Linked DNA regions of Lytechinus pictus. The protein of the gene in region 4 purifies or fractionates together with the protein of the main gene of each other region. This does not show direct contact. Links are inferred from orthologs where the notes say so. Each region holds a gene or a part of one and is shown on either strand. Other genes may lie near its edges.

Evidence for each region.
Region 1: the proteins of dnaJ homolog subfamily C member 7-like (region 4) and BAG family molecular chaperone regulator 2-like purify together in Homo sapiens (affinity purification with mass spectrometry; 7 studies listed by BioGRID and IntAct, with this or other methods). This does not show direct contact. The link is inferred for Lytechinus pictus from reciprocal best matches to the Homo sapiens genes DNAJC7 and BAG2.
Region 2: the proteins of dnaJ homolog subfamily C member 7-like (region 4) and intermembrane lipid transfer protein VPS13B-like purify together in Homo sapiens (co-immunoprecipitation; 3 studies listed by BioGRID and IntAct, counting the BioPlex papers as one, with this or other methods). This does not show direct contact. The link is inferred for Lytechinus pictus from reciprocal best matches to the Homo sapiens genes DNAJC7 and VPS13B.
Region 3: the proteins of dnaJ homolog subfamily C member 7-like (region 4) and intraflagellar transport protein 122 homolog purify together in Homo sapiens (co-immunoprecipitation; 3 studies listed by BioGRID and IntAct, counting the BioPlex papers as one, with this or other methods). This does not show direct contact. The link is inferred for Lytechinus pictus from reciprocal best matches to the Homo sapiens genes DNAJC7 and IFT122.

Annotation. Positions count from the first base shown.
Region 1 is NC_087261.1:44,276-51,724, reverse strand, and holds the start of BAG family molecular chaperone regulator 2-like, read right to left. Parts: upstream 3,023-7,449; 5' UTR 2,724-3,022; coding exon 2,453-2,723; intron 1-2,452. UniProt on the Homo sapiens protein: Co-chaperone for HSP70 and HSC70 chaperone proteins. Acts as a nucleotide-exchange factor (NEF) promoting the release of ADP from the HSP70 and HSC70 proteins thereby triggering client/substrate protein release.
Region 2 is NC_087245.1:38,392,813-38,400,460, forward strand, and holds the start of intermembrane lipid transfer protein VPS13B-like, read right to left. Parts: upstream 3,009-7,648; 5' UTR 2,638-3,008; intron 342-2,637; 5' UTR 317-341; coding exon 1-316. UniProt on the Homo sapiens protein: Mediates the transfer of lipids between membranes at organelle contact sites. Binds phosphatidylinositol 3-phosphate. Functions as a tethering factor in the slow endocytic recycling pathway, to assist traffic between early and recycling endosomes.
Region 3 is NC_087247.1:78,869,348-78,876,689, reverse strand, and holds the start of intraflagellar transport protein 122 homolog, read left to right. Parts: upstream 1-4,332; 5' UTR 4,333-4,430; intron 4,431-6,085; 5' UTR 6,086-6,152; intron 6,153-7,342. UniProt on the Homo sapiens protein: As a component of the IFT complex A (IFT-A), a complex required for retrograde ciliary transport and entry into cilia of G protein-coupled receptors (GPCRs), it is required in ciliogenesis and ciliary protein trafficking.
Region 4 is NC_087245.1:11,878,113-11,885,754, forward strand, and holds the start of dnaJ homolog subfamily C member 7-like, read right to left. Parts: upstream 3,007-7,642; 5' UTR 2,876-3,006; intron 1-2,875. UniProt on the Homo sapiens protein: Acts as a co-chaperone regulating the molecular chaperones HSP70 and HSP90 in folding of steroid receptors, such as the glucocorticoid receptor and the progesterone receptor.

The DNA.
Region 1 (7,449 bases), on a different chromosome or scaffold from region 4:
ATGTGGTTTGATTTAAACAACAGTTTCGTGAATATTATAGAAGGGTATTTAATATAACACAGTTTTTCAGGATCTACTAAAATTGCCCATATAGGGAATAGACAAACTGTAGCGTTAAAAGAGTTTATAAGGCAAGAAGGTCACTTTCTCTGAAGATTTGTTTCTTCATTGAAGTGTTAGGATCTGTCGTTTTAACCAAGGCGATAACACGGCCATCACTTGTCCATGCCGCGTTTACATTTTTGTGTTGGCTTGTCTTCTTGAGGAGTTTGAGGGTTGTCAGTGTCAAATCTTCTTGAATAGAAATTCCACTCCCTTTCAATGTCTTTTTCGCTTTCATAAATTGCGTCTTCTGTTTGTAGGAACACAATTTATCGATGATGGGTTTAGCCTTGGTTGGATCTTTTTGACCTACTCGATGGGATCGATCGATGTGGTGTTTTTTCAACTTGAACCCAAGCTGATCCTTGGCAATGTCAATTGCTATTTGATCGGTATCTTCACCTATTTTCTCTTTCACACCAAAAATTATAATGCTGTTTCTCCTTGTATACTGCTCGAGAATATTCAATTGGCGCTCCACGTCTTCTCTTTTCTCGATTTCATTCTGTAGCTGTTTCTCCAGAATATATGTTTCTTTTTCTTTACTCTCCAAAGAATTTTGAAGTTGAATGTTGGCTGATTCATTTTCTTCTATGTGGCGACGCATGTTTTCACATTGAACATTCACTACTTTATCCATTGTTTCTTTACAGACAGTCTCCATTGTTTTCATTAATTCTTTTGTTTTGAGTAATTTAGTGAGAATTGTTTGAAGGTGATAATCATCATTAGGTGAATGTTCAGACATATCAATCGTTACAGTGTCATCAGCTATATCACATTCAGAATCATTTGGATTGGTATGTTTCACCTTTTTCTTGCTTTTAGGGGTGCACTTCACTCTGGCGCCATCCCCCTTACCCGCCATGATCGGACACCGAAGCGAACGTAAACCTTAGTCGGGAGCAATATACACACGGATATATGTGACGATCAAAAGTACATATGGGACTGAGAGAATATATATAATACGTTCAAACGCTGAGCGTTCGGCAATGCAGATTTGCTGTTTCTCCCTCTAGATCAGTCCAATTACGAAAATTTTGTGGCAATTACATCACGAAAACATAGGTGTTTACAATCACAATTAAGTCAAGTCATAAAAAATAGAAAAGAAATCAGTATCTTCTTGCAAATCTTGGTTTGGATGATAATAAAAATATTGACTGCCCTCCTTTCGGGGAACATCAAATATATTGCCCTTAAAAGACCCATATTGCCCTCGTCTAAAGACTTGGGCCAATATGATTCTTTTGCTGGCAATATATTTGATGTTCCCCTCAAGACCAGTCAATATTATATAATTATTGACTGAAAGATTTTGTGAAATAAGAAGAAATTCATGTTAAATCTGAACTCAAATTGTTAGGTGCGCAGACTTGGGGCCCACCCACCCACGGCTACATCTCAGCCGCCGACTACAGAATAATTGAAGGCACGGCGCATTCAACAAATAACATTAATTTACGAAAAATTAATACGAGGACTTACAGAATGAAGTCCTCAGGACTACGAAACTTACGAAACGATGTGAAGTCAATTCCTCATAATTTGATGAATATCCCTCAAAATGCGTCATTTAAGCGTTGATTTTTCTTCTCGTTGACAAAATACGAGAGCTACCTTTTTAGCTCTCAAATTTTTTGTCTAATGAGCGAAAGAGGGCACGCGATTTATCTTCATATCAAAGACACTACAATTAAAAGACTAGACACAGAAATTATCTTACACGTAAATCGATGCAAAGCGTTACGCGAAGTCGGCAAAGTGTTCAATCTTTTTACTGTAAAGACTTTGGTTGAACGTTAAATGACAAACGAACGGTAGCACTTGCGGGGCTTTGTTCAAGGTACATAGAATTTTCTATATTTTTTGTTTAATTTGTCATCGTTTTGAATATTTTCCAAAAAGTATTATCGTCAGCAAAAATACTTTCCAGGCGGAGATAAGCGATTTTGCTCTTTTTTGTGTCCTTTTTAAATTAAAAAAATATGTTAAAAATTGATAATGGAACGCTTTCTACCAGAAAAAGCCATGGTGAGTAGCGGAATGGGTTTCGGCTAACATCATTCACGTTATGAAGCGATGGTAACGACAACTCTAAAATCCACTACAAAAACACGTTGGTTGTGCGAGGTTCGTATAGCATACTAACCTCGCAATAGTGTGAGTGGGGCCCACCATCATACTAAATTACTATTGAGACCTCAATCTACCCCAGTCCCGTGGCTCCCTCGTTTTGCACGGTCGACTCCTGGGCTCCGGCACGCAAAGCGAGTCGGAGCTCCCTGGGTTACCCATGAAATAGCCTTGCACTATCCCTATAAAGAATTCAAAATAACCAAACTACCTTCTGAGAGATGATCAATAGCCTCGCTCTGCATCATTGTGTTTAGAGAGTCCAACAAACGAGTCTTTTCATCATCAATTGATCTGGCCGTCTCCCTCATTTTCTCAACACGAACTTCCAAAGCATCCAAAGTCTTTAACAGATATTCATTGGCCTGCTTGCCTCCTCCACCATCATGATCATCTGTAAAATTATTTGGAGAGGGAGGTATCATCTCATTTTGGGCCTTCTTCTCTTCAACCTCACGTCCACTGCCAGCGATACAGGCCATCGCGTTCCGCCCGATCCACCCCGATAAGGCGATAGCAGCCGCGGCTCAGAAACTATCAAACTCAGACGGGCTACGCTGGATTATCTGTCTGTACGCATGGAAAAGATCCTCCAATTACTACCAGAAAAGGATTCACAAATTTTATGACGAGAATTCCGCTGATTTCCTTATTAATAGTAGATGTCTTATGATTTTCGTCTCGAAACCGATTGAAGTCTGAAGTCCCTAATTTAGCCAGGTCCAGCAGTAGGCCGACTTCTCTTTCTTGCGTAATTGTTGGTGTTGTTGTTGTTGAATATGATGGCGCTCTTCAATCTTGATCTTTCCAGATTATATGCGCCAGTCGCATTAATTTGGTAAGTAGGACGTCGTCGTCAAAGAAAAATCAATGCGACGCATCTCGCATTGACTTTGTAGGTCCTACAAAATTACAATCCAATATAATATTCCAAAATACATAATTGTAAATAACGCGTGTAAGAAATGAGAAATGATTGCCCGTGAGCAAGGAATGTATTCGACATTGCTCTTCTATCATGTAATCAAATAAATGGAAATGCTATACGCATGATAATCATTATTAAACATAAGCGTATCTCTTTTTCATATTTTGAACAAAATAAAATATACGTTCAATAGTTTCAAAAACTTTGCACACCTCACAGAGGCCTGGTGAATATGGTTAATTTGAAACACATAATAGTTTAATTTGTACTTACTAACTCTAATATGATGAAGGAGAATTTCCTCTTTCCGAGAAAAACCTTGCCTGCTAAAAAACATTATCATATAGCGGCATTTTCAGAAGCATTCCAATCTGCTTGCTAGATACCTTTATAATAATTTATGTCAAGCGTAAGCATGTAATATCATTTATAGCGCTTGGTAAAACAATGTTTACAAAGAAGTTTTCGTAGCTCCTCTCTTGGTAAAGGCGGTCTTATCAACGGTCTCGTTGCGGTTAACATATATCACACTGCCGGAATCCACTCAAAATTTAAATAAAATTTCATTAAAGGAAAAGTCCACCCCAACAAAAAGTTGATTTGAATCAAAAGAGAAAAATCCAACAATCGATTTCATCAAAATCGGATATAGGAAAGTTATGACATTTTAAAGTTTCGCTTAATTTCACAAATTAGTTATAATTATGCACATCCTGGTCGGTATGCATATGAGGAGACTGATAACGTCATCCACTCACTATTTCTATCGTATTTTATTATATGAAATATTCTAATGTTCTCCTCATTGTCAAGTAAAACAACAATTCCTTCCTAAACATGTCACTTAGCATTGTATTAATTGTTCATGCAGTCAACTTAGTCTTTAAGGCTGTAAAAAATACTTCGAGATATTGCATATTTCAAACAATAAAAAAAACAAAAGAATTAAGTATTGTGAGTGAGGGACATCATTGACTGTCTGATTAGCATGTCACTGAGTTGTGCATATTACTGATTTGTGAAAAATAAGTGAACTTTAAAATATCATATAACTTTTTTATATTTTACATCCTATTTTGATGAAATTTTCAGCATTATGCTCAATGAATTTGATATTTCTTTATTTATTCGTATCAAAATTTTCTGTCGTTGACTTGAAATTTAACAATAGTACGGTGAAATAGGAATAGTCAAATTGAGTGCTAACAAGGAATCTCAAAAAAATGATCAATGAATATGAATGGCCACGAGTTCCGCTCTCAAGACTTACATTTCCTGAAATACATTATTTTATATTGAGGGACATAAAATGCTGCTCTTGTTTTAAATATTTCCTGTTGGGATCCATCTGTATATGTAAAATAACCATTCCATACCATTCCAATTCTTTCTAGAACAAAAGATTTCATCTTAGCCGTTAGCATATCCTTTTTTCTTTAGTACGATGAGCATAAAAGACGCAGGAGGGCGGGATAAACGCCATTCCGGGATTTTTGTTAATAAATATTGTCTTGATTTTCTATACAAGTACCTCATCTCTACAGGCTCGAAGTTTAAAAGGTCCTCCCCTTCATCCATTGGTGTCTGTTCGTATGATCAATGCTGATTTCTCTACTTGGATTGCATGAAGTGTTAAACAACAAATAATATCTAAACTTATCATTAAAGGGATGGTCCAGGCTGGAGATATTTATATCTCAATAAATAGAGTAAAATTCACAAAGCAAAATGCTGAAAATTTGATCAAAATTGGATAACAAATAACAAAGTTATTGAATTTAAAAGATTTGCATGATTCCGGTGAAACAGTTTTCGGAATGTTTTTTTAATATTCGTTAGGTGGGCTGATGATTTCATATCCCCACTTGTTCTTTTGTATTTTATTATATGAAATTAGGTTTATTCAAAATTTTTCTACCAAGAACTAAAACAATTGGATTGACAACTGATTAAATGCATTAGTTATTTATTGCCGCAACTTATTTCATCATAATGGAGACACATCATTTACACATGTATGAAAAAATGAAACATTTATGATTTCATGCAATAACATAAGAAAAAGAAAAGTGGGGATGTGACATCATCAGCCCACCTTATGAATATTCATGACGATGTGCATATAACTGTTTTCACAAAATATTGATAAAAATCAAAATTCAATAACTTCGCTATTTGCTATCCGATTTTGATAAAATTTTCAGCATTTTGCTCTGTGAATTTTACTCTATTTATTTATATATAAATATTTTAAGCCCGGACCATCCCTTTAAACAGTGGGTTTTCTCCGAAGATACAATGGTAATTCACCTGTCAAAACTCGTAGAGACTCAAATGATACATTGTATATTGTGCCTGCATGTAATTAATGATTTTCAAAGCTCTCTCTTGTATAGAGTCAAGCTTATAGTCTTAAGACATTTGAGAGATGTACAGGCAGAATCATACAGAATAGAATAAGTCCTTTGCATATCATCATCATCAAAATTTCATACTTATTCCCCAGGTCGTACCCGAAACACAACGTAATAAGTGCAATCTTTTCTTACATTTTATCAATAATCACAGCCGCGCATTAATATAGATATTATGTTCTAACCAAACACAAAAAAAATTTAAACTGCTCACAATGAGGCAAAACATGTCCGTTTATTTTCAAAGCAATATCTTTCTTTTGTTACTTGGTAAAACTAAAGCTACACTGACTTGATATGGGAATTATTTAATTTCCATCTCTAGCACCAAAAGAAGAAGAATAAAAAGATTTTTTTTTAGATCAGTGCGTGAAAGGCTTCTATCGTACTGCAGATTTTATTTATATTTAACAAAATGTCATAATAAATAAATAATTTTGAACGCATCTGTCTAATAGACATGGATCAATGATGCATTGTATATTTTTTTAAAATGACATGAAATTCGCAGCCAATGGCAGAATTCGTGAATTTGTACAGAGTAAAGTACAGAGTAAAAACGAAGTACAAACAGGTAATAAAATTTAGGCATTGATATTAATCCCTGGGATAGGCCATATACAAAGAGGGTAAATTAAAGAGAGTGAATCGAAAGTTTTAGAGGGAACATATCGAAATTATGAACAAATTAATGATCTCTGAATCAAACAATAATTCGGATCGGATACGTCACTGATTTGTCAGTAAAAAGTTGCGTATATTTTTTTATTGATTTAAGACAAAGATGTCTTTCCCCATCTTTACATTTTGCATTTTGCTTTTTTACTTTAGTGTATTAATTTTCAAATACAGTGATATCTTTAAGATATCACTGTATTTGAAAATTAATACACTAAAGTAAAAAAGCAAAATGTATAGTGTTTTACCACAGTCGTCAATTCAATGAGATGCTGGGTAGAAGCATAATGATATTTAGAGTAGACGTCCGAAAATCCAAAACAGAAATTGATGTTCTACAGTAAAATGGGTGACGCCACCAGGCGCGGATCCAAGATTTCGTGGGGAGGGGGGCCCAAATTTGACCTGATTTTTGGCGCCCATGTGTACTTTTCGAAAAATGGCGCCCCCTCCCTCCCGTCCAGGCTAACTTAAATGTAACTTAAAAGCCTTAAATGTATTTTGAATTATCTTATTATATAATCACATTAAAAAAAAGGCAATTAAAGACCACTTTTTTAATGTGTTCTTGAAAAAATTCCATGAATATATAATGTAATATCAATGGGAGCGATTTTTTTGGGTATCAATTTGGTTTAACTTCTCACCAGAGAAGGCCCTATACTAGAATATTGTGTGACTGGAACGGGAGCTGTAGTTTCTTTACTAGTTGTTTAGAATAGCCTTCAATAATATAAATGATAACCTCTTGGGAATAATGCAATCTCGAAGCAATCGACTCAATCTCCTCATCAGTGGCGAAGCTGTGATTTATTCAGCAGGGTTGCACGGGGGGGGGGGGGGGGGGCTTGTTGAACTTTTGTAGAGGGCACCAAGATAAAAAAATAAAAATAACATGGGGGGGGGGTAGAAGTTAAAGAAATTCCGAAATTTTATTCTTAAAAACACATTGAGGTATCTCACAAGGCCTAAATAAATAATGATAACGCGAAGCGCGATATATTTGACATAATATTTGGAAAATAACATTATATTTCACCATAATCCCAATCCTTTTCTCTCTTTTTTTTCTTGGTCGTGATTTTTATTTTTTTATTTTTTTTATTTATTATTTTTTTTTTGGGGGGGGGGGGCAAAACGCCCATGTCCTAACAGTCATTTCTTAGCTTTACTTTATAAACAACATTA
Region 2 (7,648 bases), about 27 Mb from region 4:
TTGAGCTGACACTTTCGTTACCATCTGCTTCTGCATCACACAGTTTGACCGTGCATTCGATAGTGTTAATACTGATCTCGACTGGCTCGTAGCCAATCCGCGTCCAAGGAACATGAATGCGAAGCTCGTGAATGAAACCACTCACAAACGACAGAGGAAGGTTAAGGTCACGTTCCAAAGCATCCAAGCGTAGTTCTAGATTGTTCAGGACCAGGTCCCCACCCCATAGCGATAGCCTCAAATCCTCGGGTTTCAGATTCTTGATGTATTTGTCTACATATCCCAATAGGAATGGTGATATGTAAGATTCCAGCATGGTGATCGGCTATTTCAGTATAGTTCTAAAAGAAAAAATAAAGGATAATGATGAAATATTATCATTCAAAGATAATGTAAAAATATTATATATGAATCATGGATTCAGACTCAACTTCAACTTTTTACATATACTCTACACATTTGAATTTGGAGCTTTGGGACTTTATATGAGAAAGAGAATAGAAGTTATGTCTCTTCAAGAGTTTGTGCCATTACAAAAGGTGTATTAAAAGAAAAAAAATGATCACAAAGTCAGCTCGGGTAGCGATTCGGCTATTAAAGAAACCATGGAAAAGCTAAAAAAAGAATAACAATGACAAGAATCATTGCTTGTACATGAAAGCAAGAAATATCGTTTACTTGAATCTAAAAAGCTAGCAGAGGAGATAAATTCAATCCGAAGTCATTTTGGAAGTATGTGAAAAGTAATACGAAGTCACGCTCTGGGATACCAGGGCCCCGCCTTATAAAGAGTTGTAATTGACCCAATCAACCACAACTATGGAAAGCCAGCAACATCAAAAATGTATGTTTGTTCAAAATATTTTCTATATTCATACTTCATTGTTTTCTAGAAAAATCAGAGTGCTCCTCTTTTGTTTCAATTGGGCACTGTGCAAATTTCATGTAGAAAATATTACGACATTAATGGATTTCCATATAGTTGAGGTTGACTCGATCGATCGTAACTCTTTGAAAGATGGAGCCCAGACCTGCATGCAGCAGACGGATCATGGGTCAAGAATAAGCAAGACAAAGCTGATACCCTCAATTCTTATTTTGGGTGCATGTTCGTTGAGATCTTGGAAAATATTCCACACATACTCACGAAGCTGTCACTCTATTATAGTGAAACTTCTAGCCTGATGCAGTCTTCTATATTGAGAAATAACTAATGAGATAAAACAAGTGGAGCGCCACTGGTAGTCTCGCCTGCATTTTGCGATTCCATATAGCTGACTTTGATGAAATAATCATTCACAAAAAAAAAACATTCACATAATAATATGATAAATTCATTGACCCTAAATGACATTTGACCTTGATCAAGTGACCTACATATGTAAGACTTGTGTAAGATGAGCAATGATACATAATTACCCTTATGTCCACATTTCATTCGGAATTTCATTTCAGAACTTTTGTCATTCGGAATATCTAGAGAACCGAAAATTAGGTCTGAAAAACGGGTCATCAAGGCGACACATCCCCGTACCACCAATATATGTGTGTATACCCCCCCCCCCCCCCGGGCTAACTTCACATTCATGTAAGGGTATACGCACATATTTGTACAATCTCTGGCTCTGTGGAGAGTAAACTTGTAGTGAATGATTTTTACTCTCTAAGAGACCCCTTGGCTAGGTCTATCCACTTGTTCACTGCAACCACCCTTCCTGTGGGGAATGTAGATCTATGCAGTATACAACACACATAAAAAAATCATTAAAATATTACTTTTGTAACCAAAAATACCCATTTCCATTCAGTTGCAATTTATTTTTCAATAGTAACTTGGGGATCATTTTTTTTTCACCAGAGCGCTCAAAACTTGAATTTTTGGCATATTTATGTAGGCCCTCTATTGGAGGAAAGTAAAATTTCAAGAAAATTGTAATTTTACGATCTCTATCTTCAATTTAGAAAAAATAATTACCGGTAAAGAATTCAATTTACTTCAGAGCCAATTTATATGAATAGTTGTAATGGAAACTGACAGTGTCAAAAAATCCAGCATTTGTCCCCAGAACAAGAGAAAATAAGCCAAACATTGGCAACCTTATTTCACCTAACAGGGCCAGGGAGTAGACGGAGAACATTATATCATAACCTTGTTCATTGAATGAGTGGGTCTATCCAACTTTTCCTTCCTAAATCTCTTATAAAAAACATTTTTTTAAATTGAAAATGGAATGCTTTTCACCAGAAAATGAAGCCCTGGACCGGGTGAGTAGCGGAATTAGTTTTGGCTATAAACAGTAACAATTATTCGCGTTCTGAAGCGATGTTAACTGACAACTCTAAAATCCATTGCGTAAACACGTTCATAGACATAGTGCGCGGTGAGTATAGCATACTAACCTCGCAATACGTGTGAGTGGGTCTAGTCTAACTAACAAAGTTAGAGTAGACTAGATCTATTCAGAATAAAATTTTTAAATGAAGGCCTGAAATTTGTGAAAAAAATGTGCCAACTTTTCTTTTTCTACTCTTTTGTAGTATTCTTAGCAAATCCACTGTAGACCTACCGGTAATGTAAAAAAACCCGGTGATAATGCAAATAAAATCAAATGAAACTAGACAAAACTGTGGACATACCCTAAAATACACTTTTGGTACTTGAATGTAGGGAACGCTAGCGCTGTCTCCGCAGTTCGTGTCGTCGGACTGCTGCCACTGTCGCCGGCAGTCCCACCCGCAGGAAGCCGGTGATGATGCTGAGCCCGAGTGAGTTCAGTCTTGATCTTCGAAATGACGAAATGAAGGTCGACAATTGAAATTACTTGAATTGCTCATTTGCATAGTTGGTGGAGCGGCTTTGCTGATTGTAGATATCAAAAGCTAAGAAGACAATTGGAGCTTGTTTCAGCATTCCGATCCGATTGGGATTCCATTTCTGATCAGCAATTACAGGTCGTCGAACGGGTTGTTTACTTCTGGTTCTTGACACGTGTACAGTTTGTTTACGTGTGGTTATATGGTGTAGAAAATAGGCATACGCTGACCGTAAAACACCAAACTGCTGGATTTCACATCTAATTCCAGGCGCGACAACTTGAAGTCATCATGACAGCACCCCCGTCATCATCAAAAGCAAGAAAATAGAAGGGTAACAAGAAAGTTGAGAAATATTTGTCTGCAATTGGTCGGGGATAAGGATAAGGGGCTAAATGTCAAAGATAAGTAACTTGGACTATATGACAATATTTAGGAAACTAAATCTAGGGCAGCTATAATTTCAATTGAATTACATTTCGATTAGTAATGGTATATATTCCCCTATTCACATTCCTGTAAAAGTATAGGCTATATATACCGTAGTGGCTAGATCAGGCTGACATTTGGCATGCTTCGATGACATTTTAAAGAATATTACATTTAAAATGGAGACTGCCAGGAGTAAGACTATAGCATTACGTCTACAACCCATTGAAACCAAGAATTGCATGGAAAATTTGTTTAAAAACTATCCTAAAAAAATGATATGACTTCCAAAGGCCGCTTGTCTTGTTTAAAATGCGAAAAGCGAAAGACTGGTAAAGGATATCCATATTGAGAATATATATACCAAAAAGTAATAAATTATTGTTTCAAAGGTAGGGCTTCTAAATAAGGACTGCGTTGGGCCATAAATCATAAAGACATTAACTTCCGTAACGCATTAACTTCCGTAACATTTTTTTCTTGAATATGCTACAAATTTGTGCTTTACTGAATCACTCCGGATCAATTAAACCATGTAAGGTACCCTCCACCTAGGTACCCATGAAAATCTTAGCTTTTCATCCATGTCAAATTATTATTACACAACTTATTTTCAACATCACTTTGAACAGAGGGAAAATTACCAACGAAAAAAATCTCCCGATAATTATATACGATATTTAATGCTTTTAGAGTTTTGAATAATTCATACTACAAATGTTAAGGATAAGCATCTTATTTAGAACTTAAAATTTCTAATTTCCTTTGCTATATAAGTTCTTTCAGTTATTGTTACGGAAGTTAATACACTTCTCTGCTGTACTTTGCTGAGCTTGATAGTACGATTCTGGTTCCAGAACAGGCGTCAAGTCGGCAAAAACGATGGAGAGAAAGGGGAAGGAGGAGAAACAAGAAAGCTTTCATGGCCAAAGAAAGAGAAATAAAACGCCGCTCACATAACACTGGTCTGCATGCTTTCCAAGAAAGAACTAAAAGTCAAGAGAAGGGAGAAGGGCCGATTTTGAAGAGAATAAAGAATTGGCATTAAAAGCGTAAAAAGGAGTAGATCGAAACTAAACCCATCTCAAACAAATGAAGAAGATAAATGAATTGTGACAAAGCCTAGTATAGTCGCCACTACAACCTGATAATTTAAACATGGAGTAGTGTGTGTGTACAGCGCTTTGTAACCTAAAGGAATAGGTGCTATATCAAAATAATATCCAATGGATTGGAAAGGAAAATTAAATGACTGTGACGTAACGGAATTAAATGCGAGCTGAAACTCGCAATATACTGACCTGAAAACATTAAAAATACCCCTTTTCGGACTATTTGCGCAATGACTCATGAGGAGGATTAACGATCTCACCAATCTATAATGCGAGCGCGAAGCGCGAGCTAAAACGTTTCTATACTCTAACCTGAAAACTTGAGATTCTAAGCATTTTTTTGTGGTAAAAATGATCAGGATGTTTCTGAATAAACTGTTATTGCGAGTGCAAAGTGCGAGCTGATTTTATTTTGGTATTCTGACTGAAAGCTTAACATTCTAAACACTCTTTGTACCAATTATAAGGATGGGTATCTTAATTGATGTGACTGATTTTTTTATATTTTGATCTGAAAAAATAATTTATAAACGTTTTAATTTGAGAACAAGATATATGTCCAATAAACGAATTATTGCAAATGTGAAACGCACGCTTTTGGAGGTTTATACCCCAAAACGGAACATTCTATTAACTTTTTGTGATCATAAAAAAGGATGGATGTCTTGCCAAGGAAATGATCCGAGCGCGAAGCGCGAGCTGAAAATATGTGTCATTCCAATATGAAAACCAGACATTTTAAGCACGCTTTAAATAAAGACGATATAATTAATTTAAATAAAAAAATAAATTCATGCAATTAAATACAAAAGAACAAGTTGGTATTATGTAAACCATCAATAAGCTCTTTTAATATTCATGAAGATATGCATGGAACTGTTTCACTAAAATAAGGCAAATCTTTAAAATAACATAATTTCGTTATTCCTTGTCCGATTTTGATCATATTTGTATTATTTCGTTTGTCTGATAATTATCTGTTCAGATCAATTTTTTAGCCTGGATGACCCCTTTAATGCGCATGAAAAGCGCTGAATGACATGAAAACATGGAAAGGGGTATTTCAAACGCTCACGGTTGTTGGAATTAGGAATGAAATACGTATTTCGCTGATCAGACATTTTGGCTATTCATCATTTTTTTTAATCACGAACAGGATGCGTAATTGCGTATCTCGATCTAAAAAATAATGGAAAAAATCGTGATTAGATCATATAGAATCTAGTAATAATTTGTGTATATCAACTTATACAAGGCTGAATTCTAAGCCTCTTGTTTCATTCGCCTTCCCTTTTTAATTATTCATTTCCCCATGTCCTTTTTTTCTCTCCTTTTTTCTCTATCTTTTTGGCTATTGGCAAGCGGCGGGGTTCCTCGTAACCCAGAGAACCAGTGGCGTAACTACGGGGGGGGGGGGGGCATGGGGGGGGGGGCACGTGGCCCCCAATCGGCTGGCCAAAAAAAAAAACGGGGAAGAGGAGAAAAAGAGGGAGAAAGAAAATGAAACGTAGTGGGAATGAAGAAATTATTGTTCATTATAATGTTATATTATAATTATGTTATGTTATAATATATAAGAAACATTATTTCATAAGTTTATTTTGCTCAGGCCTAGATGTCTTCATTGTTCCCGGTACTCGCATTGTCCGTTTAACGTTTTTAAGTCAATATACACCAAATATATTTCCTCGCACTTCGACTTATTATTGTTTTATGTAGTGACATATGGTTCTTTTTCATGACTACTTAAAGTGATTGCCCCATTTTTAGGTGTTAATATAAAACATTTCCTGTCCGTGCTTACGTTCGCACTAGTAGATTGGTGAGATATGTCTGCTCTTCATGAATTCCTAAAAATCCGTCCTTAAAATGTCCCTTTTTCTGATCTGAATATCAAAAATTTTCAGCTCGCGCTTCGCGCTCGCATCATTTGGTTAGTGAAATACGTATCGTATGGTCTTAGTGAATTCTTACAAACAGGCCTTAAAATGCCTCTCTTCAGGTCTGAATATCCTAAATTTTCAGCTCGCGCTTCGCGCTCGCAATATTTGATGAGTGAGATGCGTAGTATCATGATTACAATGACTACAAAAAGTGCTTCATGTGTTTAGATGTAGCAAAATCAGCAAGCGCTTTGCACTCGCATTAGATGACTATGGTGAGATATGTATACTCTTAATGGATTCCTAAAATATAGTCCTTAACATGTCCTTGTTTAGGGTCAATATTTACAAAAATTTCAGCTCGCGCTTCGCGCTCGCATTGTTTGTTTAGCGAGACAGGTATGTATCATGATTAAAAAAAATTACTTATAATGTCCTTTTTTGGTCTGCATATCAAAAATTTTCAGCTCGCGCTTCGCGCTCGCATTATTTGAGCAGTGACATACATATCCGTTTAATGGCACTGCCTTTAAAATGTCCCTATTAGGTCAGTTTACCTGGCAACTGAGCGCGCTTCGCGCGCTCACTAAGTGACTCAAATATTTTGCTGGTGCCCCCCCCCCCAATGCCGTGACTCACGGTACGCCACTACAGAGAACTCATCCTGGTTATCGGCCTGCGATTGTTATATTTTGTTGAGGGCCAGAAACTTTTAAGATGAACTACAAGTCTGTGGCCCGGTTATTCGGTTTTCTTATTCCAACTATCATGATTATGAACAACAACGACAACAAAAATTACAGTTGTGCGACTTGTCCGTTTCCTGTTCTATCAACATTTTTTTTGGGGGGTAGCAAAATTAAGCTATGCATTCCACAGTTAACTTTATTTATTAAAAACTGTTATACGAATACCTAAATATGGATTTTTCTTAGCTAACAAAATAAATATTGCAATTTGTAACTTGATTTAACTTCCGTAACGAAGATTGACAAGGGTATATGCCACTCGAGGATTTGATGGTAAAGTATCTTTGGATTCCCAGAATTGGTCATGCATTACTAAGGATCTTGCTTAGGATTACTATGGGCCAGAAAGTTTTAAGATGAACTACAATTCTGTGGACCGGTTATTCGGTTTTCCCATTCCAACTATGAACAACGACAGCAAAAATTACAGTTGTCCGACTTGTTCGTTTCCTGTTTTGTTTTTAACCCTTTTTTGGGGGGGGGGGGCAAAATTAAGCAATGCGTTTTACATTTATCTTTAATTATTAAAAAAATTATACGAATACCTAAATATTGATGTTCCTAAGCTAACAAAATATGTATTGCAATTTTTTAAACTTGATTTAACTTCCCTAACGAATATTGACAAGGGTAAATGCCACTCGAGGATTTGATGGTAAAG
Region 3 (7,342 bases), on a different chromosome or scaffold from region 4:
GTCTCTGTAACAGAGGTATAATTTGAAGCATTGTAAGTTAAGATCCATTAATGGTCATTACATACCAAATTACCCTTTCTGCCTTAGAATATTTGCACAAGTTCAATTGATTATACTAGAAGAAAAACATTTTGCATGTCAAATTCTTTGCAAGTAAAAGCACTTTAAATTAGAGTTTAAACAAGGAAAAATATACAAAATTATTGACATTATATTTAAAATCATACTAATCCTCAAGGTTCCACTTCCGTCTGTCTCTGGAAACATTTATGTTTCTGTCTAAAGGGGAAAAAACGAAACAGTGCTATCTTACGATCTCCAAATCTTTTATTACTTTGAAATATCTCCTTCAAGATATTACTTTCAAATGTAGATACCTCTGTTACACGGACATCATGTCCTTGTAATGGTCATATTGAATAGCATTACTTGAATATTTTGACATATTTTTCTAGTATCAACACACTAAATGCAAGTTAACTCATCTTACTCAAGTGTAGAAATACAACATCTACAAGCAAGCTTCTGTAATTCATATCAATGAACAGGTAAAATGTTTTTTTATTCATACACAATTATAAAATTTTTTGATACCTTTGATACAATATTCAGGTGAAAAATATGTAGGGAAAAGGTACTAGTTTAGTTCTTCTAAGCTATGGTTTTTCAAGACAAAACAAGACAAAGTTCGCATGGAAGACATGGACAACGCATTTATACCTTACACATATAAACTTGTTCAATTTGTTAACTCTAATTTGTTTTACCTCAGTTACATGGACATCATGTCCTCAAAATGGTAGTGTAGAAGTGACATTAATTAAAATATAATCATGTCATCACTGGAACTTACATACATTAGATAAAACATTAAGTTCCAACATGTGAAAAGGACAATTGTAAAGTACTTAGTGGACAAATTTAATTTAAGAAACTCACCACCTTTATATCTTCTGTTTTTTTAACAGAGTTGTAAGCGAGAAAGTAAAATGTACTAAGCTATTCTAATGATCAAAAATAAAACTGCAAGAACTCTTTGGTAAACTTCTTACTGGCAAATGCAAAAAAATGTATTACACTGTACACTAAACCTGACTATTAAAATTAACATGCAATATTTCTCTCTGCATTCAGGTTACAAGTTTATGAACTTCAAGAAGACTGGTGACCCAATAAGAAATTTCAGTTTGGAAGAGGATTCTGTCAATGTCACAAAGTGGATGGAGGTAGAATTGTGCCTCGCCATCAGGCCAGGAGTACAGGTCACCAGATTGACACTTCATGTACTGAAGATATACATTTTCACCTTGAACAGAGGCTACCTGTAGTTGAGAAAAATAGTATTTGGAAGTTTGACTATATTTTTTAAGCAATAAGCAAATATTTTTTATATCATATCAAATCATTTACTTATTTATGTCTTGACATTTTCTCATTAAAGGGGGTGGATTACTAGGGACAATGAATCTGATCTGTTCTTGCAAAATACACAGGAACCTTCACTTTGTATTTTTTCATAGCAAATAGAATTCATCATTTCATAGTTCATAAATTAAATATAAAGTTACGTTTTATAGAAGGTTTTTGTATTTGTGTTGTTGTGTTCTACTTTGTTTTCACAATACAATTACTTGCCCATTACCTTTTCATAAATTATCTGTACTTCAATTTCATTTCTCAATGGATTAATTTAATCTAATTTTATTCTGCATTCTAATCAAGGGTGGTTATCTAGACAATTCCATTTAGTTTTTTATGACCATCCTATTTAATTTTCATTGCTGAAGTTTAATTGTTCAAGCAATTACATAATATATGTATGTTTTATTGGAATTAAATAAATTAATGGAATTCAAATCTGCAATTTACCTTCTGATACAGCAAATAAACTCTTGTGAAACAAACTTGATTGTGTCACATTTTCTTTTGTTCACTTGTACATGTTTTAAAAATCTCATTATATTGCAATAAAAAAAAATCACATTGAAAACAATCACACAGGCTTTTGCTTTCTGATAAAACGAATCCCCCCCCCCCCTCTCCTTACAATTGAATATATAGAAATCAAAATACAAAATATTGAAAAAATATTGAGAGAAAAAAAGAATGTGCTGAAAAGTATAACATTCAACAAGATGAAAAGTTTTGGGAAGGTTAGGCCTACAGCCAAGAATTACTAGTAATTGGATTATGGCCATGCTTCATCATACACAAAGCACATGCACTATGTGTAGGGGGTAGTAACAGAAACATTATTTTGCCCCCCCCCCTTCTTTCGGATTGGGATCAGCTGACAAGCAAAAAAAAAAAAAAAAAAATGGGCGGGGGGGGGGGGGCCTGCCTCCCCCGTGGCGCTGCCACTGGTTCTAAACTCTCATTTTTTGGGGGAAATTCAAATTTGATCATCAGGTCTTTGATACCCATATTACGTAGAATCAGTAGGAGCCAATTTCAACAAGGCGAGATTTTGTACCAAATCTGAGATGTCAGCATGATCATCGGTGATAGAGCAGTTTTGAGTATCCATTGGCCTATTGAAATAACATATTTCGGTGTTCAAAAAAATCAACTAAATTGCGATTGAATCATGTCAGCTAACATTCAAAACATGTTTGCACGGAATCACAGTAATAAAAACATTATTTCTTTGGGGCCGTTTAGCAAATCTGGAACAAACACGGCGATGTCTCAATCACATATTTCACTTACACGAAAAGATACATGTGGGACTGTAGTAAAAGATTATGGAAAATTAGCGAGATTTTTCAAACTTAAAAACACTTTCTGCACGATAATATAGTTTCACATTTTTAAGATAAGGTTTAACTGATTTAAAAATACGAGTATCGGGATAAATCTCCGTACTTACGTCGCTTTGAAAGGGAAAACATCGTGGAGATCCAATCCACCGTTACACGGACATTGCGGGAAGATTCCCAATTGCAATGCTGCAAAACACCCGATATCATAGCCGTTCATGTGCACGTGGATTTCGGCTAACATCCCGTCCGTCTGATACATACAACGACGGTCTCTTCTCCGGTCTCTCCTTTTTACATACGCGATGAAATGTGATCCACCGTTACAAATTTGACCCGGACATCGCCCAAAACATCGGCGACCCTCGATTAATTAACATGACATTAACATTGGTTTTCAAAGCTAATCTTTTGATGAAAAGTTGCTTACTGCCTGCCCTTTATTTCTGACACATAACTTTGGAAAGAATGATTTCTGACTTTTAGTTATTTACCACTTTACCGCCGTTACAGAAAAAAATAAAGGCGGACATCGCATGTAACGGTGGTATGCGATGTTGTAGGAATTAATAATGATATGAAGCCTCTTTTCATTTGCTATCCCATTACTGTTTTGTTATTAAACAAATGTTGCTTTATCAATCATGGCCATTTGAATTTGACTTAGTTTATCTTTTAATTAGATATCTTCAACTGAAAATGACCATTTTGGATGTCACACTTGGTACCCCAAAAAAGAGTCTGGACATCATCATTTAAAGTCTCATCATCAAAAATACTTGAGGTTCAACATTTTTATTTCTGCATCAAGTAATTGCTTACATAACTGCCTTCCAACAAAACCACATTGCAACATCCAAACGCCAAACACATTCTCAGGATAAAGCCAACAATTCATAGGGAACACAAAAAAGTGCTGTTGCCCCAACCCCGTGGAATGACCCATATGACTAAGTTATGTCTATGAGATGAAAGTATCCACAAATCCTTTCAAATATGTGAAAAACTTTTCTCCTGAAATTGCTGCATTTTTAAGTAAGAATGTCATGAATTACGCACTTTCGGAACGGTGACACAATGATGGGTAAATTTTGAGTCACCGATTCGAAACGTCCAATACATTTACTACACAGACATATCGCGCATGCGCACACACACGCACCGATCGTACACAAAAGTGCATTGACTCAGCTGCGTTGTTGAGACCTTGGGTTGAGATATACGTTGAGACGCCACCCCCTCTTATTTTGATAACAATTGTCACCCCCACTTTCAAAATGAAATGATCGTGAGCATTTTTTTATAATCTATATTTTGATAGCAAATATTGGTAACTTGAGCGGGCAGCTATGGAAACATTGATTGCTTAGTGTGGGCGTCTTAAATCTTCGCCCGAGAAAAATGGCAGCTAAAATTTGCACCGTATGGACCAAGTTTGCAAGTTGTATTTATTTATTTCACATCTTTATACAGGGTAACTAATTCAGCTATACACGATAAAAACATTGACAGTCTGATTTTGACTGCGCTAAACTCCTTTTTCTTTTGCTGGATCTTTTAACCAAATGTTGCAGCATTTCAGGGAATTACTGAGGATTAATATCAGATGCCACAAGACACTTTTCAACATTGCAAATGATTTCTAGAACCATTTTGGTCAGGCAGTGACAGGTGAGTGGCGCAACAGTAAAAAAATTGCACATGGCAACTCACTGCGCATGGACGTTAGGCTTACTCTCCATGAAGCCTGGGATGGGATGCCATAGGCCCACACACACCGAGTATTTGGAGACAACAATGTTGCTCCAAAATACTTGATTTCTTTAACTTACTAATTACAAACTTATGTAAAAATGTAACCTTTTTACACGAAAAATAATATAACAATTAAGAAAAATCATGTAAGAAGATGAGCAGATACTCACAGATGTTATTGTCGCCATCTTGCCGTCTTTGTTATCGTAGCCTAGCTAAAAGAGAGGGCGACAATATCATGAGCAGTGCCAATTTAAATAAAAAAAAGATACTTCCATTGGCCGATAAATATCATGAATCGTAAAATACTTGCATTGGCCAATAAATATGATATTTATTGCCGATGCAAGTATTTTACGATTCAAGATATGATGATATTTATCGGCCGATGCAAGTATTTTTTAAAAATTTAAATGAAAAAAAAAGGACAAAAAACAGTGACCTACTTCGGCTGTCGCGCAACTCCCACTTCCCTAGTTTATCTGAACTTAATACATAAACATATGTCCATTGAGTCCCTGTACAGATCGAGTTAGAACTTCGGTCTGTGTAATTGGTGAGTGGAGCCAACGGAGTTCAGCGGAACAACCAATATAACAGAGACCGAAGCTTTTGGTCTAGATCTACTTAGACCGTACTAATGTTATATCTCAAACTGACTCGAGGATGAGGGGTTCGATCGAGTCCCGCTCATCATGCGGAAAGAGTACATCTATCCAACGACGACGAAAGTTCAATGTCCATGCCAACCTATATAAGAATCATTATTAAACATCAAATCCCCCACTTAAAGGGGAATAATGCATTGAGTCTATGGGGTAGAGTTCCCTTTCACTGTGAGCAGGATGGATGGCTAGCCATCTTGTATTTTTTGTATGACACGAGGATAAACCAACAAAGTTTTTTTTAAATGTCAGTACTGCAATTTTCCAAACAGACTAATTTAGCTGTCTACACTTCACTTGAATGAAGACATTGCTACTGATAGTGTTAGCAAGTTCAATAACACCAAACATGTCATGAACTGCCTGATTTAGTTGGCTACAGTGCTGGCATTGTTGCTCAACCTGACTCATTGAGGTCAAGAGTCCGGAGACGGCAAGAAATCTTTATTGAAGCTAAAATATTGTAGTTTCTGATGATAGATGTACAGACATTCAGGTGAAAGATTGTTTAGGAAGGTTGGGTTGGGCAAAATTTGGGTAAGAAACTTTAAATTCAATTGCTAGAGAAACCACCTACATTTGGGCAGGTTACGATTGTCTTTGTTCAAATTTCATGAAGTTCTTCTTCCTCAGGGTGGACCTGTGTCTTTCACACTTGAAGATTAATACAGGCGAATACAGGTTCTCTTTTGTCTAAATAAATATAATGTTTTAGTGTCATGTACATGTAGGTGTCACTATTTATGTAAAATTGAATACTCAATTTGGCAAATATATAAAATATTAGAATCTGTTGAGGTAATCATGGCTTCACTTCATAACCTACTTACCTAGCCTTTAACCTTTTTGAGACAAAATTAGATCTTTAGAAATTATTCATCGGCATATTTTCCTTTTATCAAACAGTATTCATGATCTTGCATTCAAGCCTGATGGAACCCAACTTATTGTTGCTGCTGGTAATAGAGTACTGGTAAGCCATGATATTATTATGTCTGTATTCCAACTCAGGAAGCCATTACCTGTGTGTGGAATGTCTTATTCCCGCAAGTGAAATATTATATTTCATTTCTTTGATGTATGCATTCAAAGAGCTCATCAACTGCTGCTACAGCAAAACCTTGCATTAAGTGTGAGTGCTGTATGTTTTCTGGTCAGTTAAATTTCGACACTTGAGATGAAAGATGCAAATTAAATAATTTTTCCTTCAATAATTCATAAATTCTTTAGATTTAAGTTGGAAAATATTATGAGAAAAAAATTTATTCACAATGCTCTATGATATTTGATGCATACTAGAATTTGAGAAATCCAACTGCAAATTAAAAGTTGTATATATCTCAAGTTCTTATCTAATCCCCAATCTTATTAGATTGTAACTCAAGTCAGTTGATCTTGTTTGCTTCTCTTCCTTTTTATTATTTATCTCTTGTTTTTCCTTCTTCATCTTCCTGTCTTGTTATTTTTCTTCAATTTCTTGTTATTCCTCTGTATTTCTCTTCCCTGTAAACCATTTTAAATAAAGATATGAATTCATAGTATTGGAAGAGATTTTGAAGTTGTTTGATAGTATATCATCATAATGGCCTTTGAAGATAAATTGCCTTTAAGCAGGGTTGGGCTCAATTACATTCAAAATACATTCCTAATTACATTACAGAGATGATCCAGCTACTTACCAGCTTCTAATTAACATTATATTAACCTGTTAAAGTCAGCCCAATGAAAAATTATTGTCAAGTTGATTATAATCTGGTCATTAGCTGGCTTAAGCAGGTTATTGTAATGCTAATTAGAAGATGGTTAGTAGCTAGATCATCTCTGGAATGTAATTAGGAATGTATTTGGAATGTAATTGGGCCCAACCCTGCCTTAAGTAGATATTCACATTGTTTGTTTTTATCTTCATAATCAAATAGTCAACTTGATGTGTTTGAAACTTGCGAGAAATTTGAAAAATCACATTTAAACTTTTTTATTTCTTTTCTTCCTAAGTTCCTTTACTGGAACATTAGTGGGAGCAGAACTCAACAATTCATACCAAATGCTTGTATTTTTATTTCAAGATAATTAGCTCGATCAAGTACGATTATTTTTTCATCGTGCATTTGTTTATTTCAGTCTAAGATCTACTCTGTTTTAAGTTGAATTTACTTACACATG
Region 4 (7,642 bases):
AAGCTCCTGCACGTTTAATGACAATAGATATTAATTATTTTGGCCATATTCCAGGGTTGTTACGTTTTCAAGCTTTGCTTTTGTGACGACCCTTGCAACCATCCTATTTATTGTGTAACAGAAAATACCACTTAATGATTTTCATTTATGTAAGCTATGTTTGAGGATTTATATACAAAACAATTGTTCATTATCTTGATGTCAAGTTTCAGATATGTATTTTTCTTGTCCAGAATTTTGTTATGAAAAATGTTGCAAAAACCAATAAATGAAATGAAATGAAAGTTGACCTTCATCCAACATCGAATCCTCAATGGCAGCACCAACAACAGCAGCTGCACGAACCTCTCCATATTTACCTTTTGGATCAAAAGTGAGGTATACAGCTGGATGTCATCAGCATAGAAGTGTATACCAAGACCATGTTGCCACATTACAGAGCCAGAGGAGTGATGTACAGTTTGAAGAACAAGGTACAAGGACAGACTCCCAAGGAACTCCATATCAAAGGGTAATCACAGGAGACTGCATGCCAGTGATGAATACAGCTTCATACAGCTCTGTTGGCAAGGTAAGAGGAAACCTGCCATTGGAGTGCAGAATCATCAATTCCAAAACAGACTGTCAGTCTCCTAAGAAGAATGACATGTTCACTGGTATCAAAACCGGTTGACAAGTCAAACATAACTTAGGCAACTGCTTTCCTCATAGAAAGAGAAATCCTGGCTCTACAATCGAAAAATGTCTCGACCTAGACTTTGATGGTGATATCTCAGACTCGCATGCAGCCTATCAGAGCTGGGTAAGCCATTGGATGCTGTTGGGTTTAATACCGATCAAAATAAGTGGATTAATAATCACCTACAGGAACGCCAAACATGCCAGGAACCCACCATCCTCTGAAAGATATCTTTGTTATCAATTTGAAATAGTCTATCTTATGAAGATATGAAGATGTGTGAATATTAGAAGTTCGATAAATGGCCTAGAAGACATTACACAATTCACTGCGGTATTGAAAAGGTGCACTCCGTGCATTTTAACACCTGAAACAAGATCTGGTTAGACAGCAGATTCTCTCTTAAGACAAAAGTTTAGGTTTTCTCTATGGATCTGTGACATGAGAATCGGACATATCTCAAGAACACAAACACGATGACTTCGATACGAACTGCCTCCGCAAAATACTTGTACTAAATTGGTTTGATTTCAACAATTAGAGATGACTTTTATAATATGAGGCTGCCCTATCAATCAAGCCATCCAATGGAACACCAAATCGATGATAACTGACATTGATAATTCAACACCCCGAAGGTAAAGGTGTATATCAAGCTGGGGGAAGCTGGATGCCTGTAAGTTGGATAAAGCGGCAATCATTGATAGGACAGGTGCAGTACTGCATTGGAAAAGATATATTATGGAGATGCACATGTAATCCGTTAATGAAGTCCAATGATTAAAACATTTTATTAAAAGGATATGCAGTGACCTATTCGTTGTGGAACTTTAGAACATCACAGTCTGGCTTTTAAAACACGGAAAACGGTCTAATTGATAGGCAAAATGAGAAATTAGATGGATTATATGTGGGTTAAGTTCTGATAATTTTTGTTCAATATTGGGACAATTTGACGAGCGTAATGGAGTAAAACACAGGACATCTCATTTTCAGCAGACGGTTTTCACTTCATTTTGCTGAAGAAAAACACACTAAATATATATACATGTATGTGTGATCAGATTCTGCTGGTCGGGAACATAACTACTCCAAAGGATATTAAATGCAACTGATTGACTATTAGGAGTTGAGAATTACAGTACTGTTATGATTCAAATTTAATAATTCATCATCTAAAATTGTAAATATGAATGAATTGATTGATATCATAATTCAAGATACCATTTTATAATAAAAATATAAGCAATTAATAGTGACATTCGCTTGAATACAGATAGGTTCATGAAATTCGTTGGATTTCCACCAGTGTGCTTTTAAATGGGAAGGCCCTCCGTGCAGGAGTTTTCCTTTGTATGCAGATGTGGGTGTGGGAGTGGGTGCATCTGTTTATGTCCATGGATATATGCGAATAAAAAAGTGACTACATAATTAAATCATTGAAGCTAATTATTTTCTGCCATTGATAATCAATAATTTGACAGATCCCATAACAAAACATGTACAAAACAAAAGGTACAAAATACAAAGAAATTCAAAAACAATAAAATACATTATTAATCACTGTGATATTATATTCTAAGGGCCGTACAATTATTTATAATGATGTAAATGCTATTTGTACCAAAAACATAAACATTTGAGCTGAAATTATCAAATTATAGCATAATGATCCAAAATATGCATAAATTTGCATAATTAATTAGCAGCAAACAAAAATAACAAGTTTTCCCGAAAGGTACACGTATGTATGCAGGATTTTGCAGTATTCATGTCTGTGAAAGCGAATATAATTAAAGAACATTGTCGAAATAATATTCTGAATTGTCAATTTGGCAGCCATTTTGTTTATGCAAATTAGGTGGTCAAAACATGAGAAATTAGCTTGGGAACCGATCTAATCAGATTCAGCATATTTGAATTGTGTGAAATAGTCCGGTTTCCAACTTTTACCCCAAAATGCTTCTTAAAGTTTATATAGGCCTCTTTTTCCAGAATGGGTCTAGTCTAAATGCCATTTTCATGGTTTTAGAGATTTTCTTTTTTCTGTAATTTTTAAGAACTGAAATAGGCAGAGAATGGGTTAAATTTTCACTTTTCCTCAATTTTTTGTGTATGTTTTATAAGTTTTTTAAGGACTCATATTTGTGACAATAATTTGGCCAAAAAAAATGTTATTAAGTCCGACTCATTCACCTCTGACAAAGCTTGTTTGTTGGTAGGTTCTATATCAGTTACCCTCTGGAGAGCTCTTATTGCTGCCTCAACTGATCCTAGGGCAAGCTGACATTTTGCTTCTCTTAGATGTCCCTGCCAAATGAAAAAAAAAATCTGAAATATATCATTGTTTCTGAAAGGAAATGCATTGTAGTGAAGCCTGTGGACAAGACTAGCGATGCTAGATAAAAAGTAGGGCTGTACCTTGGTGTTCGTTTATGAACAATCCATGTAATATCTCTGCACACATAACACACATTCATATACTCAGAAAAGTAGCAAACTACATACTTGTACACGTCACTGAGAAGCTCCTCCGCACAGTGAAGTTAAGCTATGATACACGATGGAGCTTCATGGTGATACACATCACACAGATCTTCAACATTTACATAAAAACTGATTTGAGAATAATGAAAACAAACATTTTTTTTTTTTGTCTAAAAATTGTGCTAATAAAATGAGGAAAAGAATGCAATTGAATTGCTAGTGTCTATTTAAGGACGTTCCACAGTTAAAGTGAAATCCATGTCATTTTCACCAAACTTTGCACATAGATACTTTAGAACCTTAATATTCGAAATATGCAAAAATTAACATAGGTCCATGTGCTTGATTTTTTGCTATAGAGCTTCAAAGTTCACCCAAATTGATGTTCTTAAGAATTGCGCATTCAAAAGAATTTGGCATTTTTAGACCGCCCAAGATTACTACAATGAGTTTAAACCTCCATTACTCATTCAAAATACATGAAAAAGTCATCAAATTTCGCAAGAGAGTTAATAATTGTATCGTTAGAATGGAGAATCTATTAATAGTGCTATTTGTTTGCAATTTTAAGTTTAACAGCACTGTCAGTTCTTAAAAATGGCGTAAAAGATAACAAAATCCCAATCTGAAAAATGTAAAATTTCAGTAACAAACTACAAACGTACAATAATTGCTGCACTTTATTCAAAATCCATGTCATTTTCACCAAAATTTGCAGAGTTGTAGAGGAAGGTATACCTAAGAGGTACAAACATTAAAAAATAGGGGTTCATGTGCTTGTTTTTAAACTATCAGCATTTTTATTAGAGCAAATGTGCTTTTTAAAACACCAAAAATGGGCCGAATGCTTAGTATCTATGTGAAGAAAAAATCAAAACCACTCTACCATTTATTCAAACTCGGGCTAATATTCGTGATTCTTGGCAGCACTGCAGAGTAAAGTATTTTGAAATTGTAGAGAATATTTTTTTGAATGGTCCATGGAATAATTCAATTTTTTAGCTTCATAAAATAACGCATCGGATCTGCAGTTAAAGTGCAGAAGATGAGAAAAATCAGCTCATACCCGCAGCTAATTAATACCTGTTCATCCATTGTGACGTCAGCGCGCAGAGTGTAAACTATGCGCAGATCATAATGCGCACAAATATAACTGTGGAACGTCCTTAAAGTCAGTTCAAATCATTTGCTATTTTGCCATCAGATGGCATTCAGTGTGCAGGATTAGGTCAACAATTAATAAAAGCGCCATCTAAAGGCAAAAATGCAGCATATAGACTTCAATTACGAAAGCGACTAGAACGTATAATCTGGAGAGATTAAAGAGCGTCATCATATTCAAATACGACTACTACTTGAATCTCTTGCTATGCACTAAAATTAATATTTTCCTCATTAATGACCATGGATATTTTCATGTGGTTTTCATTACTTTCATTGTGATGATAATTGATATCCACACAAGTTAATGCAGAATTTTCCAAAAAAAATCCAGCAGGTCTAGTAAAAATGTCAGAGAGTTGTATAGTTGACCAATATTAAAAAGTTGTATTGTTTGACTGTGAAAGGGATTGTACAAGCATATAATGGCAGAGTGCCAGAGTCAGACAGTGTATATGACTATTCCTTTGTATCACTGAACGTTTACTGACCAGTAGACAATTTGGGTACTATAAAATGCAGGCTAGTTCAGAAAATCAGAATACAGATAAATAAATCAGAGAGAATACAGGTTTGGATGTTTCACGGACCAGGGGTTATTCACAACAACAATCAAAATACAATTTCTGGTGAGATAAATTACATCTCATAGTAGAATGGTTTTAAGGTCTAAAAATGTTTTTTGTCAATTCCCCCCCCCCCCCGGGCCTTTGGTGCTTGTGTCATGGCACATGATAACTCAAGCATGTACATGTACTTAGTTTGCTGACACACAATGAATAATTTCTTAAATTCTTTCTATTATTAAAGATTGTTTCTTGATCATAATGGATTTGTGAAGAAAAATCAAGAAAGGTATAAATTCCGCATATATATTCTGATTGCTGAAATCTGTACACAATGTTCACCCCCCCCCCAAAAAAAAAAAAAATAATAATAATAATATCTCAAAGCCACACTTGTTGGTGGCATTTTAGTTATTTTACGAGTTGAAAACAAGGGAAAAATTAGTGAAAAACATTACCTTCTCTTTTATCAAGAAAGCAAAGGAAACACAAAGAAAGATAGCACAATATACAAAAGAAAGATATTTATGGATGGAGGCCATCCTTTCTTGACACATTTGCAGTTAGTTTGGGAACTGAAAACAAAAACATATTTTCCATTAAAAACAAGCCTTTTCAATTTTTCGGAACATAAATACACATGTAAATTAGGATGGGAAATTGAGAGACAGGAAAAAAAATAATTGAAACAGTATTTTGTTCATTTGTTTGTATTCTTGTTTTTTTATAATTGTTTCTACAGGAAGTTTGCATAATCTCCTTAGTAAACAAAGAGAATCACATTGAATCTTCAAGAGAACAATGAGTGTATGAATATACATCATTATATCAAGAAAATATTCTGAACAAATTTGCATTTTAGATGTTGATGTTGCTGGCCATCCACAGTTGTGGTTAATTGGATCAATCGCAACTCTTTGTAAGACGGGGCCCAGGGGAGCATTATATGAAAGGACTTATCGGACTGACAAGTCCTATTTTATCCAACAGTTACCATAGTAACCGTGCTTCTCAGCCAATCAAATTCAAGGAAAGTTGTCAGATCTGACAACTTGTCGGATCGAAAATATTGATGAAACGCTCCCCTGGCTCCGGTAACACAAAGGTTTATAGCGATTGATCATACGCTTGATCTTTACGATTGATCGCACATTGTAGTCAATGGAATCAATCGTAGAAAAATGTTCTACGATCACTGCTAAGTTTTGTGTTACGGGCCCCTGGACTCTATTTGCAATGCAGGGAATCAGTTAACCCTATGATTACCTCATACATCGTACATGTACATGTTCAAATTTTCTCTTTCTGTAGTACAGAAACGAGATGGACAACAGTATTGCATTAGACTGTGGAATGGGCAAGGAAAATGTCTCTAGTTTTTAATTTCCGTGGGGCAGCAAATGCAACCACGGTTCTTGGACATGATAATATGTAAAATATTATGTGTGAATACATGCAATATGTTGCCATCACTGAATTCTGCTCCTGAACTCAAAATTAAAATAATAATATGCGAATTCGTACCACTGATTCGACTGGAAATCCCGCCATTCACCCTGTGTGTTAAGGACTTCCGCGAACGTGCGCAAGCGTGTACAATGCATGTAACCTCATTCACGGTTATTTATTTTTTATTCGCTGTATAATATAGAATCTACGATGGCAGATAAGATGTCGTCGTCTTCATCGTGTTTTGACAGCAAAAATGACGTTTTACCACCAGCAAATAAATGCTACATGCACGTCTTATCCAAGGAGAGAGGGCCAGTAAATTTCTTTCAAGTAAATAAGAGCTGGAACAAATTTAAGCCTTTGCTGCATTCGCTGGTGTAGACTACCTGGGACTTAGGAATAAAAATCTATAACATAAGTTTGATCCATTCGGATCTTTCTGCAATGCTGGTCGGGCCGGGCTGCAAGTCAATTGCAAACTTCTCTGCTGCACGAATAGCTATTTTTATTCCGAAGTCCCAGGTAGTCTACACCAGCGAATGCAGTGAAGGCTTAAATTTGTTCCAGCTCTTATTTACTTGAAAGAAATTTACTGGCCCTCTCTCCTTGGGTAAGACGTGCATGTAGCATATTTGCTGGTGGTATAACGTCATTTTCGCTGTCAAAACACGACAAAGACAACGACATCTTATCTGCCATCGTAGCTTCTATATTATACAGCGAATAGAAAATAAATAACCGCGAATGAGGTTACATGCATTGTACACGCTTGCGCACGTTCGCGGAAGTCCTTAACACACAGGGTGAATGGCGGGATTTCCAGTCGAATCAGTGGTACGAATTCGCATATTATTATTTTAATTTTGAGTTCAGGAGCAGAATTCAGTGATGGCAACATGTTGCATGTATTCCCACATAATATTTTACATATTATCATGTCCAAGAACCGTGGTCGCATTTGCTGCCCCACGGAAAGTCACAATTTTAGCGACTATCCTACAGTCTACATGTAGGATTCAGCTGTCCCAGCCAAATCAAAATTGATCTATTTCTGGCTACATTATCTATTTATAACATCAACAAGGTCAAGCTACTGTAGTCGTCATGGTAATAACAAACATGGGTAAACAGCTGGATTAAAGCTCAATCCTAGTCTTAATAGCACCTGAATAACAATTTCTTATACTTTCTTGTCTTCAGGCAAATTCCAGAACGGTAAACAGACAAAGAGGCCAAAGTAAGATGCAGCATGGTTGTCCATGTGACAAGATTAAAAACAATAGGCTAAATAAAATGT